2 linked regions of the Elephas maximus indicus genome follow. The protein of the gene in region 1 binds, or shares a complex with, the protein of each later gene. Links are inferred from orthologs where the notes say so. Each region holds a gene or a part of one and is shown on either strand. Other genes may lie near its edges.

Region 1 (7,863 bases):
ATACTAAAACAAACATTCGACTGACTTTAGATACGAATTGTTCCAATTTACATACAAATTCGACTTAAAGATAAATTTAGGAATGGAGCTCATTCATAATCCAAGGACAGCCTGTACGCTGTCACCCTTCTTGCAAGCCAAGTGATAGCAAGCCTGTGCCTCCACTGTCTCTTTCAGAATGAAGCCCCCAAAAGGCTGAAGGTCTTAAAAAACTCTTAAATGTAGATCATATCTCAAAAAATAGAAGATAATAGGTGCCCCAAATTGAAGTCTAAAATTCACCTTAAAAATTCCTGATTGGCTTTCCAATCCTACTTGGATTATCTTTTTAATCTTCACAACAACTCTAACATGTAGGTGCTATTATTACACCCATTTATTACCAATGGGTTGATTGATGTTATACAACTTGCAGGCATGGCCTGGAGTTTTGACCCCTGGTGATCCAACTGTCCAAATGTCCAATCTAGCAAGATTATGAGTTCCTTGTATACCCTGCGCCTTGCCCATACATGACCTGACACATACTAGATGGTCAATAAATGTGTATACTAAACTGTATATATAGTATGACCTTATGTAGGAAAAATATGTATGGAGTAAAATCTGGGAGGGTATACATGAAACTCTTAAAGGGTAGTTAATTGTGAATTGTGATATTATGGGCAATTTTTTGCAACATACATTTTTAATTTTCATCTTTACACCTTTCTGTATCTTCCAAACTTTTGACAATGTGCATGTATTGTTTTCATTTATTTCTATTACTGTTTATACTACACAAAATGTCATGTTAACAGAATGTAGGTGGTTATATCTGAATTGGGTTTAATAAGATTTAGTTGCTTCAAAGGGCTTTATAAGAATTCATTTTATCCTTCAAATCTGATTTCAAATGCTTCCTACTTCATGATGCCTTCTCTGACTTTGGTGCTCCTTCTCCGAAGCTTCTATTATGCCAAAGTTGATACATACTGTACGCCGTCTGTGTACCAATGTTGCTGTCTGCCCCTCCTCCCCTGATGTTCCCAGTCCCCTCACAGATGGGGTCCCCTCGCCTCCAATTTTCTTCTCCATTCTCATTCTCTATTTCTCCTCTCTTTCTCTTCTGTTTCTTTCCATGATCTTCCTCAGATTTTTCCTTTGAGTCTTCTTCCCTTCTTGTCTCCTATCTCTCCCTTCTTTTTGAGAAGACTGACTTTCAAATGAAACGTCAATCAAATGTTACTTTCCATCAGGGAGTTTTCAGGCTGATTCTACTGGAGTCCTGAGGAAGATGCTCAGAGTTGGGAGTGGACACAATGATGAGGGAGACTTCTAAGGAGGATGGATACTTTTGGTTGAAATAAGGGATTGAGGACTACATTTCAGAATGACAAAAGCAATGGGAACAAAGGTTCGAGGATTCCCTCAGGGAAAAGGGTAGAAGAGAGCTGAGCAGAGGGCCCCTTACCTGATTGGGCCTGAGGGTTGTTATCTCCTAGTGTTGGCACTCAGTTAGAAAGAATGCTGACCTCAGTTGATTTGAGCTCCTGGATTGAATTAGTCCTGCTTGTGTAATTGACTTTGATATGTGGCCTTTGGATCTGAATTGGGTTTAATAAGATTTAGTTGCTTCAAAGGGCTTTATAAGAATTCATTTTATCCTTCAAATCTGATTTCAAATGCTTCCTACTTCATGATGCCTTCTCTGACTTTGGTGCTCCTTCTCCAAAGCTTCTATTATGCCAAAGTTGATACATACTTCATTCAAGCAATTATCTTCATCGTATTTTATCGTAGTCTGTGGGAAATTGTTCCTTTATTTTCTCACCTTAGGAATCTTGAAGGACAGGAAGGTATTTCACTCATATTTGTATCTGAGGCCTAGCACACACCAGGAACATACTCACTTGAGCCAGCAGTACTCAATAACAATTTAAAAAATATATTAACAGCTAAAATTTAGTAAGCACTAGGATACGCACTATACCTACATTGTTTCATTCACCAGACACTTTAGGCAGAAAGTACTTTTATTTTGCAATGAGAAAACTGAGCATAAGAGAATTTTTTTTTTTTTAGTTTTTATTGGGCTTTAAGTGGGAGCTAACAAATCAAGTCAGTCTCTTACACAAAAACTTATATACACCTTGCTACATACTCCCAAATGCTCTCCCACTAATGAGACAGCCCGTTCCCTCCCTCCACTCTCTCTTTTCATGTCCATTTCACCACCTTCTAACCCTTCTACCCTCTCATCTCCCCTCCAGGCAGGAGATGCCAACATAGTCTCAAGTGTCCACCTGATCCAAGAAGCTCACTCCTCGCCAGTATCCCTCTCCATCCCATTGTCAGAGAAATTTTTTTGATCTAAGGTTGAATTCAACCCAAGGTCAACTAGTAAGTGGCTGAATTCTTTTCTATATGCTTTTTCTGGATCCAAGATCTGGGCTCTTAACCACTATGGATGGACACATGGATGGATGAAGGAATGCTTTTTACTCTGTGGCTGAAGAAGAGACATGGTAGAGCTCATCATTTATTTTATAGAGACAATTATGATTAGTTCTAACTTTTACTTTTTCTAACTTCTGAATCATCTCTTTTTTTCTTCTTCCTTCCTTCCTTTCTTGTAATTCTGTATCTAAAACTCTCAGGAAAAATGTTTTGAGCACTTACGTTGGAGCGTAATCCAGACAAGAACCAAGTGTTCTGTGGGGAAGGGAACTAACATTGTATTTGGTTTCTACCTCTTGCTATTCATTCATTTCTAAATTTATAAATATCAAGCAGCTACTGGGCGCTTATGGTAAGACCATGTGTGCACAGAAGAACTACTCCATAGGATTTGGAAGCAGATCGCCAGGCCTGTCTTCCGGGGCACCTCTGGGTGGGTTTCAATCACCAGCCTTTCAGCTAGACTGTATAACCACTTGTGCCCAGGTGTCACCATGAGTCGGAATCATCTTGATGCAACTAACAACTGGGTGCTAGAAACCTTTTAGGCAGTAGGGGTATAATGGTGAACAAAACAAAGTCCTGGCTCTCAGGGAGATTACACTCTTAAGTGGACACTTCACATATACTAGTTCACTTGCTCCTCACAATGACTGCATAAGGTAATGATGACAACAATAGTGGGTAACTCTTAACAATGTTTATCTGTACCAGGCACTACCTACATGCTTTATATGTATAATCACAAAACCCTGTGAGCCAGGGGTGGTGTTTTCTCCATTTCAGAAATGAGGGAATTGAAGCACTAGGAGGTTAAGTGACTTGTTGAAGTTTTGAACCAGGGTGTGTGACTCTAATTCCCAGGCTACTAACCACAATATGTTTCGTTTATGTTTTCTATCTTCATATCACACAACTTTCACGTGGCTAAATTGTATCTCCATCCAGATCTGTGTGACTCCGAAGCCCACGGGTTTCCGCTGCATCCCAGAGGCCTCGTGGAATAAATGAGAAAGAATGCCTTGGAATTTTTGCAACACTTTCTCTTCCAAAGAATTCAAACTGATTTCCACATAATTCTCATAGATTTGTGCTGTGAACCTCCTTGTACTGTAAATTCCCGCACAAGGAGAAAGATAAACCCGAGTCCCGGGTCATTTGACACTAGCCGGAGCACCCAGCAGATGGCGCTATCTTAGTAGCCACCAGCTGGCTGCCCCATCCCCGGGGCTCCCCACCTCCGCGGAAAGCTTCCCAGCCCTCCCTCACTCCCTTCTCTCTCCCCCTCCCCACGGAGCCCGCGTCCACGTGACCTTAAGACGGCCAATAGGCGAGCAGAGAGGGCGAGCTGGTCCCTGTGGCCGCCATTAAAGCGAAGGGAAAACCCGTGAATTCGGATTAAAGGGGGAAAAACACCGCCCGCTGGGCCCACAAAATGGGGGAGGCTACTGCGTCCAGGCTGTGAGGCCGCAGGAGAGCAGACGTTAGGTCGGCCCGGCCCAGGGACGACACGAAGACAGCCGGAGAATGGTCTGAGCCCCAGACGCCGCCACCACCTCCGCCACTGAGGAGACTCTGGGCTTAAGGACATCGCCGCTGCCGGGCCGGGGGCCTGGGCTTCCCTCCCGGTTCTCGCCCTTCCAGCTCCTCTGCGGCCGCCTCCCCGCCCGAGGGAATCGTCTGGGGCTTGGGCTCGACCGTCTCGGACTCGATTTCAATTATTTATTGTGTAATTTATTATTTTTCTGGTGGAAGGGGCATACATCTCCTCTGTCCCCCAGAGAGGGGCAAGCGCCTGCGGGCTCCGCGGCAGCCGCAGACCGGCCCGCGGAGCGAGCGCTGCGCGGCCCTCCCGCCTCCGGTCCTCGGCCCCGGGCGGCTGGGTGCCGGCCGGGCGGCGGGGGCTGCTCGCGGCGGCGGGGGGGTGGGTGGGGAGGGCGGGCGGCCCGGCGGCCTCCTCTTCCATCGCCCCCCCCAGCCGCCACCCCCCCCGCCCTGCCCGGTGTCTGTGTTTCTCTCTCTGGTCGGAGGCGGCGGTAATGGCGGATGGTGGGTTGTGGCGCCGGCGGCGGCTGCTGTGAGGGACGATGAGTTCCTCCTTCGTGCCGAACGGGGCCAGCCTGGAAGATTGTCACTGTAACCTTTTCTGCCTGGTGAGTGCCCGGGCCGCGGGCGGGGACGGCGGCGAGTGGGGCGCTGAGGGAGGGGCCGCGAGGTGCGCCCTTGGGCCGTGGGGGAGGGGGTCCGGGTCTGATCCCGGCGCCCGAGTCCCAGGCCAGGCCCAGTGGAGCCGGCGCGGCCGCGAGGCCCCGCACCCAGCCCCGGGAGACGGCGTCCGCTCGGTCGCCGTCCTGAGCTCTCGGGAGTGGGGAGTTTGTTTCTTGTCTTGTTTCTGACTCCCCCCCCCCCCCCCGCATCGTAGTCTTCTCTTCAACTTGGGCACCTCATCTGCCGGGACACTGACTTAATTAACATTTCCGTCTGCATTTTTTGCCTAACTATTGCTTTTCTCTTTTTTGATCCTGTATCCCTCTTCACACTTTCTATTATTGCCTGTTCTCCCACTGTCTTTATACTTCGCTCTGGTAATTTGGTTTCTCCTAATAAACAGGACCCCAGAGTTTATGCACTGACTCCCCCCCCCCCCCATTTTACATTTTTTCTACGCGTCAGACTAACAGTTTGACTTCTGGGTGACTTCACATCTTTGTGTAAAAACCAGTAGATGCCATTTCATATGTTTTCTTCCTAAACTTTGAAAAGTTTGCCATTTTGACAATTTCTAGCCATCTTGCTATTATTAGAACATTATGCTTGTGTGAGAGTGGAGGGGGCTAATGGAGGAGGTGCTATGGTTTTGCTCTGTTTCTATATTGGTCTGTTTTGCTTGCCTTTTCAGAATGCTTTGAGCAGGCTGCTCCATGTTTTATTGAAATGGAAAGTCTGGGGAAGCTATACGGAGAAATGACAATCGTGTTGATTGGTCCAGGCCTGGGAACTTAGAACATATAAGACTTCCCAAAGTACCAACTGTTGCAAATACGTAGTTCAGAAATGGGCAATAGCTTAATTTGGTGACAAAGTTTGGGTGACTTTTTTCATTTTCCTCTGTGCTATGGGAAATATTAAGAGTATATGATAGGTAAATGAGTTGAGTGGGCGGAGCACAACTAATTGGCAAGTGCAAACTGCCAGTCATGTATCAGCAGTTTCATTTTTGGCACCTTATGCTTTGCCCCTTTAAGTGAGGTTGAAGAATTAATGGATTCCCTCTGTCGAATCTCTTTCACAGTGCTATTGAGATCTGTAATGCCTTCCCCCCTGTAAATTATGTTGGTTTTCTTGTATAATGTCCATTAATCAGCATCTTTGCATGTAAAAAGACATACACCAGGTTTTGAATTTCTGTGCTCTCCAACTCAGTCTATTTTTGGTACTTTTAGGATCAAGTTCTTTGAAGATAGTCTAGCACAAATCTGAGATTTCTTTGTGGGCAGCTATGTGATTTTTCCTAAAGTGGATGTGGCAAGAATTAACTAGAATTTTTACAGGAAGTATTCAGATATCTTTTTATTAGAGCTATGACTTCTACAAACATGGAATGATAAATTTTTAAAAATTAATTTTTAGTTAAAAGTTTGACACCAGGGGACAAACAGGACCACTTAGAGTAGAATTTAGGACAGAGAAAAAAATGTTTACTCAGTCAGTGTGCAGTGTTAAAGTACATGTTTATATTTAACATTCTTTTATTTCTATTTGGGGCACATTATATTTATTGACTTGCTAATTTGTGACATGTCAGTGTTAATATTTTAACTGTTTTTGTTCTTTTTAAATTCTTGGTTATTATCAGATGTATAAAGCTTTTTTACTTTTTTTTGGTTTTAAGCCACTTTGAATATTTTAAGCATATATTGAAAAATTGCAGTGTCTTAATGAAAAAGGGACTTTTATGGTGAATAGTTTTAACTTTGAATGCACAGTAATAAAAAGTCATGCTTTCTTTTCTTCAGGCTGACTTGACCGGAATTAAATGGAAAAGATACGTATGGCAAGGCCCAACTTCTGCCCCTATTCTGTTTCCGGTAACTGAGGAAGACCCCATTTTGAGCAGTTTTAGTCGATGCCTTAAGGCAGATGTACTTGGTGTTTGGCGGCGAGATCAAAGACCTGGAAGAAGAGAATTATGGATATTTTGGTGGGGTGAAGACCCTAACTTTGCTGACCTTATTCACCATGACTTATCAGGTGAAAGCAGCTTATCACTTTCAACTAATTATGTAGTAAGATTGTATACTTTCCCCAAAATAACATTTGTATTACAAATTAGGATTTTTTTTTTTTGATGGAACATTGTTAGATATGAAGCCAGATAAAAATTAAGCCCTGTGTTTTATTACACCATGGTTATTTAAAATATGCTATCCATGTGTGTTATGGCAGGTTTTTTCCTTCTACCCACGTTGCTCTGAATTTCTCACAGGCAGTTAGGCTTCAGGAAAACATGCTATATTAACTTAAGAAAAATGGAATTTGGGGGCATGAAGTTCTCAACAAAGTCATATAATACCTTTGAAGCCAAGTGTACCACACCTGGGAGTCAATTCTGCCACTGCTCTGTACTGCATGAATAGCCAGACAATTATAGGAATATCTAGAAGTGGTGTGTTGTGAATTTTTCTTGTTTTTGACAGCATATAGTTATTTTGTTATTGTTTTATTAACACATGAAGGCATATGTTAATTTTTTTTATTCTTGGAGAGTGATTATTTTATCCGAGGTACTGTTCCATCAAAAACTATCGTTAATATAACGAGACAGGTACATCTTGTTTAGCTTTTACAGGATGTGGTGTCATAATCTGAAAGGTTATGCAGAAGTAATTTTATTGTGAGCAAATCAATATGATTACTTCCACCTTATTCTCATAACCTTTAGGACCAAACGTTACTTTAGAAAGAGGCTATAGACCTTCATGTAATTTCTGAAACTTGTGTTTACTTTAGACTGTAAGAGTCAATGTTAACTGATTCTTTGGTGATAAGAATGTAAACGAGTAGTTGTGTGCTCCAAGATACTAAAGATTTGGTAATGATTTTTGACAGGTAAATTTAGAATTTCTAGGGAATTAAAAAAAAAAAAAAGGCAGTTTCTGAATTTTCTCTTACTGTCTGTTTGACACATAGGACCTATTTTCTTTTTAAATGAAACGTAATCCAGGTGTCTTTGTATCAAACAGTTATTTAGCAAGATCAGCCTTTGTGCAGGAATGTATGTGTTGTGGCTATTTGTTTTGATGCTTGCTTTTTACCTTGTAATGAACACACCGTTAAGTATTAATCCTAATTTCTTGAGAATGGTTGCAATTCTGTTACGATAAAGCTTTCCGGCTTTCCTTATAAGCTGCTTGCTGGAGAGTC
Region 2 (7,690 bases), on another chromosome or scaffold:
TGCTTATTGCCAGTACAGTACACACACTGTTGTTAGCTGCCATTGAGTTGGACCCTGACTCAGATGACCCTATGTGCTACAGAGTAGAACTGTTCCACTGAGTTTTCTTGGCTGTAATCTTTACAGAAATAGATCATCAGGACTTTCTTCCACACAGCCGCCCGGTAGGCCTGAACCGCCAACCATGAGGTTAGCAGCCGATCACAAACTAGGTGGTCAATAAGGTATTTCTGTCTCTGTAGCTCCAGACCTTACCTCATTCTTTCCCTTTTCTTCACAGCCAAGCTTCTCAGAAGAGTGGTCTACTGTGAAGGGAGGAGACTCAGTACCACAGAACCTCTTCTCATAGTCTCTGGGCGCTGTATCCTGCCATTACAGTACCCTCATTTTTCCCCTCTCTGCCAGTTCTCCTCTTTCCACATGGTTATATTTAATAATGAAGACCAAAGATGACAGCCTTCAGTATAGATTACACTTCAACATAAAGAAAACAAATATCCCCACAACTGGACCAATAAGCAACATCATGATAAATGCAGAAACTAATGACATTTTTGAGCATTTCATTTTACGTGGTTTCACAAGCAAAGCCCATGGAAGCAGCAGTCAAGAAATCAAATGACATACTATACTGGGCAAGTTTGCAAAAGACCTCTTCCAAGTGTTAAAAAGCAAAGACGTCACGCTAAAAAGCTAAGGTGCACCTCACCCAAACCATGGTGTTTTCAATTACCACATATGCATACGAAAGCTGGACAATGAATAAGGAGGACCAAAGAAGAATTGATGCCTTTGAATTATAGTGTTGGCAAAGAAAACTGAATATACCATGGACGGCCAGAAGAATGAACAAATCTCTCCTGGAAGAAGTACAGCCAGAACGCTCCGTAGAAGCAGGGATGTCGAGACTTAATCTCATGTACTTTGGACATGTTATCAGGAGGGACCAGTCCCTGGAGAAGGACATCATGCTTGGTAAAGTAGGAGGCCAGTGAAAGAGAGGAAGACCCTCAATGAGATGGACTGACACAGTGGCTGCAACAACGGGCTCAAACATAGCAATGACTGTGAGAGGATGGTGCAGGACCCGGCAGTGTTTTGTTCTGTTGTACACAGGGTCGCTATCAATGTGAACTGACTCGATGGTATCTAATGCTTACTGCTCAGGTGAGAAGGCACTTTCTTTTTTTTTTTTTTATTAACTTTTATTAAGCTTCAAGTGAACGTTTACAAATCCAATCAGTCTGTCACATATAAGTTTACATACATCTTACTCTGTACTCCCACTTGCTCTCCCCCTAATGAGTCAGCCCTTTCAGTCTCTCCTTTCGTGACAATTTTGCCAGCTTCCCTCTCTCTCTATCCTCCCATCCCCCCTCCAGGCAAGAGATGCCAACACAATCTCAAGTATCCACCTGATATAATTAGCTCACTCTTCATCAGCATCTCTCCCCAACCAATGACCAGTCCCTTTCACGTCTGATGAGTTGTCTTCGGAGATGGTTCCTGTCCTGTGCCAATGGAAGGTCTGGGGACCATGGCCACCGGGATTCCTCTAGTCTCAGTCAGACCATTAAGTATGGTCTTTTTATGAGAATTTGGGGTCTGCATCCCACTGATCTCCTGCTCCCTCAGGAGTTCTCTGTTGTGCTCCCTGTCAGGGCAGTCATCGATTGTGGCCGGGCACCAACGAGTTCTTCTGGTCTCAGGATGATGTAGGTCTCTGGTTCATGTGGCCCTTTCTGTCTCTTGGGCTCTTAGTTGTCGTGTGACCTTGGTGGCACTTTCTTTTTAGTACTTTCTTTAATCTGTGTGTTCACCCAACTTCTCTCTCCCCAGCCCTTACTTTTCTCCTGAAAATGAATCCTGCATTTCTAACTTCCATTTATTCAACTGCATGTGGATTCAATTCTTATTTTTAAAACTCCAAATCTTCCCAATTTCACTCATGGCTTCTCTGTTTCAATCTATGGTACTCACATTCTCCAGATACTTTTAGAAAGTAGTACTCCTCAATTTAATAATCTCAATTCCTACTATCCTTGAGGAAGGCTCAAATTCCTTTGACTAGCACTCAAGACTAAACTCATCTTACTTCAATTTATCTTTAAGGCCTTACTAATTACTATTCCTCTATGCAAAAGTTATGATCCAACTAAATGGGTCTCCAACACGTCTTTAAAAAACCATTTTTCATATTGTTTCCTTTTAGGAAAATTCTTCCCAATTTTCCAAACAAATATTAATTCTTCAAGGTCTACCTCAAGCCACATCTTATTCATGCTATCATTTTGGACAACATGGAACATATTTTGAAAACCACCATGTAGTTCTCAATATTGTTCACTAAGTTACTGTTATTTGCTGTGTGAGAGGCATGAGCACAAAGTAATGAGACTGGTCTTGACAAAAAATACAGTCACATTACTTTATCCTTAAATCACATCTTTTGGATCCCCAGCCAAAATAAGTTCTTATAAGCAAGGACCAGTTATTATTAATTTCTCTCCCCTTGCCACTACACGCCCCCCCCACTTAGCATTTGCACAGAACAGGTGTTCAATCACTTGTCCACTGATATAAAAAGGTACACTCAAAATGAGTAAGGCAAAAGAAAGGTTAAAGAAACTCCTGGTGGGCATCAACTACTAACTAGCCAAAGGGAAATTAGATTCTTTAAGCTTCAGCTTTTTCACCTAAAAGATGCAAATAACAATGCCTGCCGAAAAGGACCATTCTAAATAAACTTCCAAGTACTGCACCAAACGCAAACCCTGAACCATTTTTAGGAAGCCATAAACCATTGTCAGGGTCAGAACCCGGATACAGACTGGAGGTTGGTCGTGGAGATGCACCAGCCCACGAATTCATGCCATCCCAGGAGTTGCCGATGCTCAGAGCCCTTCCGGCTTTGAGCAACTGTGCAGTGGCACGCGTTGCCTAGGTTACCTCGCACCTCCGCCGGCCGGCTTATAGCCACGCCCATCATCCCCTCTCCATGATCTGATTGGCTAGTTTAGGCCAGGCTTACTACTCACCTGGCAGTTCCCGCATTAGGTAGAAAGGGCCACAACCAGCCGCTGACTTATCGGCGCCAGGAGGGGCTGTGGCTGCGGAAGGAGGCGGGGCCGTGCCGGGTCCTCCGCCCGGCGGAGGAGGAGGCGGAGGCGGAGGCTTTCCGGGACCGAAGCTGAGTGCGGCTGGAGGCGGTGGTGGGTCAGCCTGAGCTCCAAAGAGCGCTGTGAAATTCTCCATCGTCCCCTCTGCCCCGACGGTGCCTCGGCTTCTGGCGTTGATTACTTTCATTGGACAATCCCTTCACGGGGCAACGCCCTCCACCTCCAGGAGCAGTTTATCACTGGATGCCCTAGGCCCCGCCTACGTTCTCCCCGCAACTACTTCCGTCGCTTTATGCGAACGTCCGGGAAATGCTATGTAACCGTATTAATTCTTCTCTGATATCTCCACCCACCGCAGTCAATATCCAATAACATGACTTAAATGGAAAGAGCGGCAGGTAGATTGACCAATAAAGTGTCAAATCCCTTTTTACCTACCAGCAGATCCAATAGACATCTATTTCCGGGTCAATAGGCGGTGCATCCGAGACTTGGTCCAATGGGAACTTCAAGTGGTGTGGGGGCGGGTACCAGACCTGCATACGCCGGTGAGCAGCGGGCGCCGCAAGGGCCGAAAAGATGGCGGTCTTGGCGCCTTTAATTGCATTGGTGTATTCGGTGCCTCGACTTTCACGATGGTTGGCCCGACCTTACTATCTCCTGTCAGCCCTGCTGTCCGCCTCGTTCTTACTCGTGAGGAAACTGCCGCCGCTCTGCCACAGTCTCCCCACGCAACGCGAAGACGGCAACCCGTGTGACTTTGACTGGGTGAGCGACCCCTGCCTGGGACCCCGCGACCTTGAAGCTCCTTGCCCCAGCGGCCACATTTGGGAGTCCCAGGCTTCACCTTTTTGAGGACATCTGAGGTCCCGAACCTGTCACGGACTTATAGGCTATTAGAGCGTAGGGCCCGGACCGTCATTGAGTCTAAGATGGGAGTACAGGAAAGAATGACGTCTCGGAGTTGTACAGTCCGTTAGTTATAGAGCCTGCCCAGCAGCCCAGACTCTGGTCCAGGGTTTTTTCCGTCTCACTATTCATATTCGTTAACTGCCCTGCCAAAACTTTTACAACGTTTTACAGTTTTTAAAGCTCTTTGCTGCATGTGATGTAAAGCCTCTTATTTGGGTAGATGAGGCAAGTAATAGTATTTATTATGTTTTATTGGTGTAGAAATTGGTCTCAGCATGGTTAGGCGACTTGTCCAAGGTCATACAACTACTGAGTGGCTGGCCTTGAAACCACTCTTCTGTCCATAGTACTTGCACAGTTTCTTAACAACAACAAAAAAGCTGCCGTCAATTCCGACTCATAGTGACCCTATGGGACAGAATAACACTGCTGTCGAGTCGATTCTGACTCATAGCGACCTGATAGGACAGGGTAGAACTGCCCCATAGGATTTCCAAGGAGCAGCTGATGGGTTCAAACAGCTGACCTTTTGGGTAGCAGCTGTTACTCTTAACCACTGCGCAACTGGGGCTCTGCATATTCTGTTAGTTATTTCTGAGTTTTGTAAACAGTTCCAGAGTTCATATTGGCGTTTGGAACCCACCGAGCGCGGATCCATGGGAGAAAGACCTGGCGATTTGCTCCCGTAAAGATTACAGCCTAGAAAACCTTGTGGGGCAGTTCTGCTCTTTCACATGGTGTCACTATGAGTTGAAATTGAACTCCATGGCACCCAATAGCAACAACAACATACAATGTACCAGGCACTATTGCTGGGTCCTGAGAGTGCAAAGACAAAACTGTTAGGCTTCATGTAAAGGGAACGTGAAAAGTACGTTGGAAAGCAATATAGAAAGCCTCTTGCTGTGCTCTTGAGTAGGATGGAGGGACTGCTCAGAAAAATGAGTTAAAGCCTTATGCCCACTGCTGTATATATAGCAGGATATGTGTTCTGATGAGGGAGAGTCATCCTGAATTTTTGTCTGTTTTCCATTCCCCAAAATGAGTCTGGACCTTTACCCAGCACCCATTCCCTTACTTTTTCCCTCCGTCCTGTTTACTCTTTTATGTTTCCTTTGCCCTTTCCAAGACTGTATTACTGATTAGTTCAAATGTGCCTGTGCTATTTCAAAAGATCTTATTTTTATCTGGTACTCTATACCACTTAAACAAAAATGGGACTGAAAAGGATAAGAGAATAGTAGTGAAGATTTTAATAAACATGTTGTTAGTTGCCGTGGAGTTGATTCCAACTAATAATGAAGGACTCTATAGGACAGAGTAGAGCTGCCTCACAGGGATTCCAAGGCTGTAATCTTTACGGAATGCCATATCTTTCTCCCATGGAGGGGGCTGGTGAGTTGGAACTGCTGATCTTTCAGTTAGCAGCTGAGCACTTAACCACTGCACCACCAGTACTTTTTGAGGTACCTCTGGGTGGGTTCAAACCACCAACCATTTGGCTAGTTGTCAAGCGTTTAATCATTTGCGCCACCCAGCCACTCCTTTAATAAACATAGAGACCTTTTATACGTAGTAAGTCCCTGGGTTATATGAAAGTCAGACTTACTGACAACTCATACTTCTGGGTTGTGATGGTCAGACTTACAACTTGTGCTTGCCCTTTAATGTTGTGTAAATTTGCCCTCACTTTGAAATGATTGAGTCAGCTCTTACAACAAATTCTTCACCACAGTCACCTTTGCTTGCTCATGCAACTTTCAAATCACTGAAAAGACTTTGAGCGTTTACTTGCACTGAAAAAAAAAAAACACCCAAACTCGTTGCCGTCGAATTGATTCCGACTCAGAGTCTATAGGACAGAGTACAACTGTCCCATAGGGTTTCCAAGGAGCAGCTGGTGGATTTGAACTGCCAACCTTTTGCTTAGCAGTCGAATTCTTAAAAGAACCATATGTACCTGTTCTCACTTACCTACAAATTTGACTTAAAGACACACTTAGGATCGGATCTCATTCATAACCCTGGGACTGCCTGTCTCTCTAGAGCGTTGTCTGATAATAACAAAATACTGGAAGGTTTTATGTTCTATTATTACTCTGCCAGAATTTATTTTTTTTAGTCACTTGACTATAATAGCCCTCCTGGCACAGTGGTTAAGAGCTTGGCTGCTAACCAAAAGGTTGGCAGTTCGAACCACCAGTTGTTCCTTGAAAACCCTATGGGGCAGCTCTGCTCACTCCTGTAGGGTCACTATGAGTTGGAATCGACTGGACAGTAACAGATTTGTTTGTTTATTTTAACTATAGTTGCCAGTTTTTATTTTCTAGGATAATTCTTGTTTTACTGATTTATCTTGGTGATTGGGAAGTTAGAGTATTAGAATAATATTAGCAGCATTAACAGATAAACTTCAAAGTTCCAGTGGTTTAACAGAATAAAAGTTTATTTCTGTTAATTAAAGGGAAAGAATCAAGCATTTATTTTGCCTTTCCTGTATGTCATGTCTTTTAGGGCAACCAAAGAATCGATAAGGGAAATTTGATTTTTTAATAAAAGAATTTGAGTTAATACAGAAGGAATGATAGAATTTAAAAATCATCTTTTAGCAACCCTGAATGAAGTAATGAATCTAGGCAGTGCTCACCTGTGGATGCTGAAATCATCAGATGAAAAGTCGATGTGTCTCCTGAAGTGATGTACCACCTGTGATGTATTTTTGCCAAAAGATTTGGATTTCACTGTATTCAGACCTCGAGATCTCATTCCCACTTTATAAGAAATATGGCAGATAGGGGATCATTATCAGAACACATGCCATGAGTCCAGAAAGTGGCAAAGTTGACAGCATCAGTGACTGAATGTCATCAGCAGATACATAGCATGGGGTAAAAAGGGAAATTAAAGAGATCAAAGAAACATATCAGTTAAATGCCATGTGTGCATGTTGCTTGAATCCTAACTTGAACAAACAACTGTACAGACATTTTGAGACAATCAGGATCCTGTGAATAAGGGCCAAGTATTAGATGAAAAAAAAATTTTTTTTTTTTATTAGATGACAGCAAGAAACTATTATGTTAAGTGTGATAATATATTGTGGTTTTGTTTTTTTAAAAAAAGTCCTTATCTGTAAGAGATGCCTGTTGATGTATTTACAGGTAAGAGGACAGAGCTGGAATTTCTTTCAATTTCCCCTGCAAAAGAAATAGGTAGCATGGATGAAATAGAACCAGATTAGCAAAATGTTGATTACTGTTGAAACTGGGTGATAGGAGTTCATTGAAGTATCTGTCATTTGTGTATGCTGGAAAATTTCCGTTCCGAAAAGTTTAAATGTAAGGAACACACAACAACCAAGAGAGCTTTGCTTCACTTAGTCAGTTTGAGACCTATGCTCCTTCTGTGGAAACCCTGGTGGCATAGTGGTTAAGACTTCAGCTGCTAACCAAAAGGTCTGTGGTTTGAATCCACCAGGTGCTCCTCGTAAACTCTATGGGGCAGTTCTACTCTGTCCTATAGAGTTGTTATGAGTTAGAATTGACTCCACGGCAGTAGGTGGGTTTCTTTTTTTTTGGCTGCTTCTGTTTTCGGTCAATATAGCCTTCAGGTCATCCCGCCATCACCCAGCCAGCAGATGAAAAAGGAAAGCTGGAACG

The links.
Region 2: MED13 (region 1) and MED19 share a complex: the UniProt entries of both Homo sapiens proteins name them as parts of the mediator complex. The link is inferred for Elephas maximus indicus from reciprocal best matches to the Homo sapiens genes MED13 and MED19.

The regions. Positions count from the first base shown.
Region 1 is NC_064837.1:34,008,339-34,016,201, reverse strand, and holds the start of MED13 (mediator of RNA polymerase II transcription subunit 13), read left to right. Parts: upstream 1-4,412; 5' UTR 4,413-4,526; coding exon 4,527-4,592; intron 4,593-6,455; coding exon 6,456-6,690; intron 6,691-7,863. UniProt on the Homo sapiens protein: Component of the Mediator complex, a coactivator involved in the regulated transcription of nearly all RNA polymerase II-dependent genes.
Region 2 is NC_064825.1:119,108,741-119,116,430, forward strand, and holds the start of MED19 (mediator of RNA polymerase II transcription subunit 19), read right to left. Parts: upstream 3,355-7,690; 5' UTR 3,307-3,354; coding exon 3,039-3,306; intron 1-3,038. Other genes in the region: TMX2 (thioredoxin-related transmembrane protein 2), read left to right, coding at 3,699-3,887. UniProt on the Homo sapiens protein: Component of the Mediator complex, a coactivator involved in the regulated transcription of nearly all RNA polymerase II-dependent genes.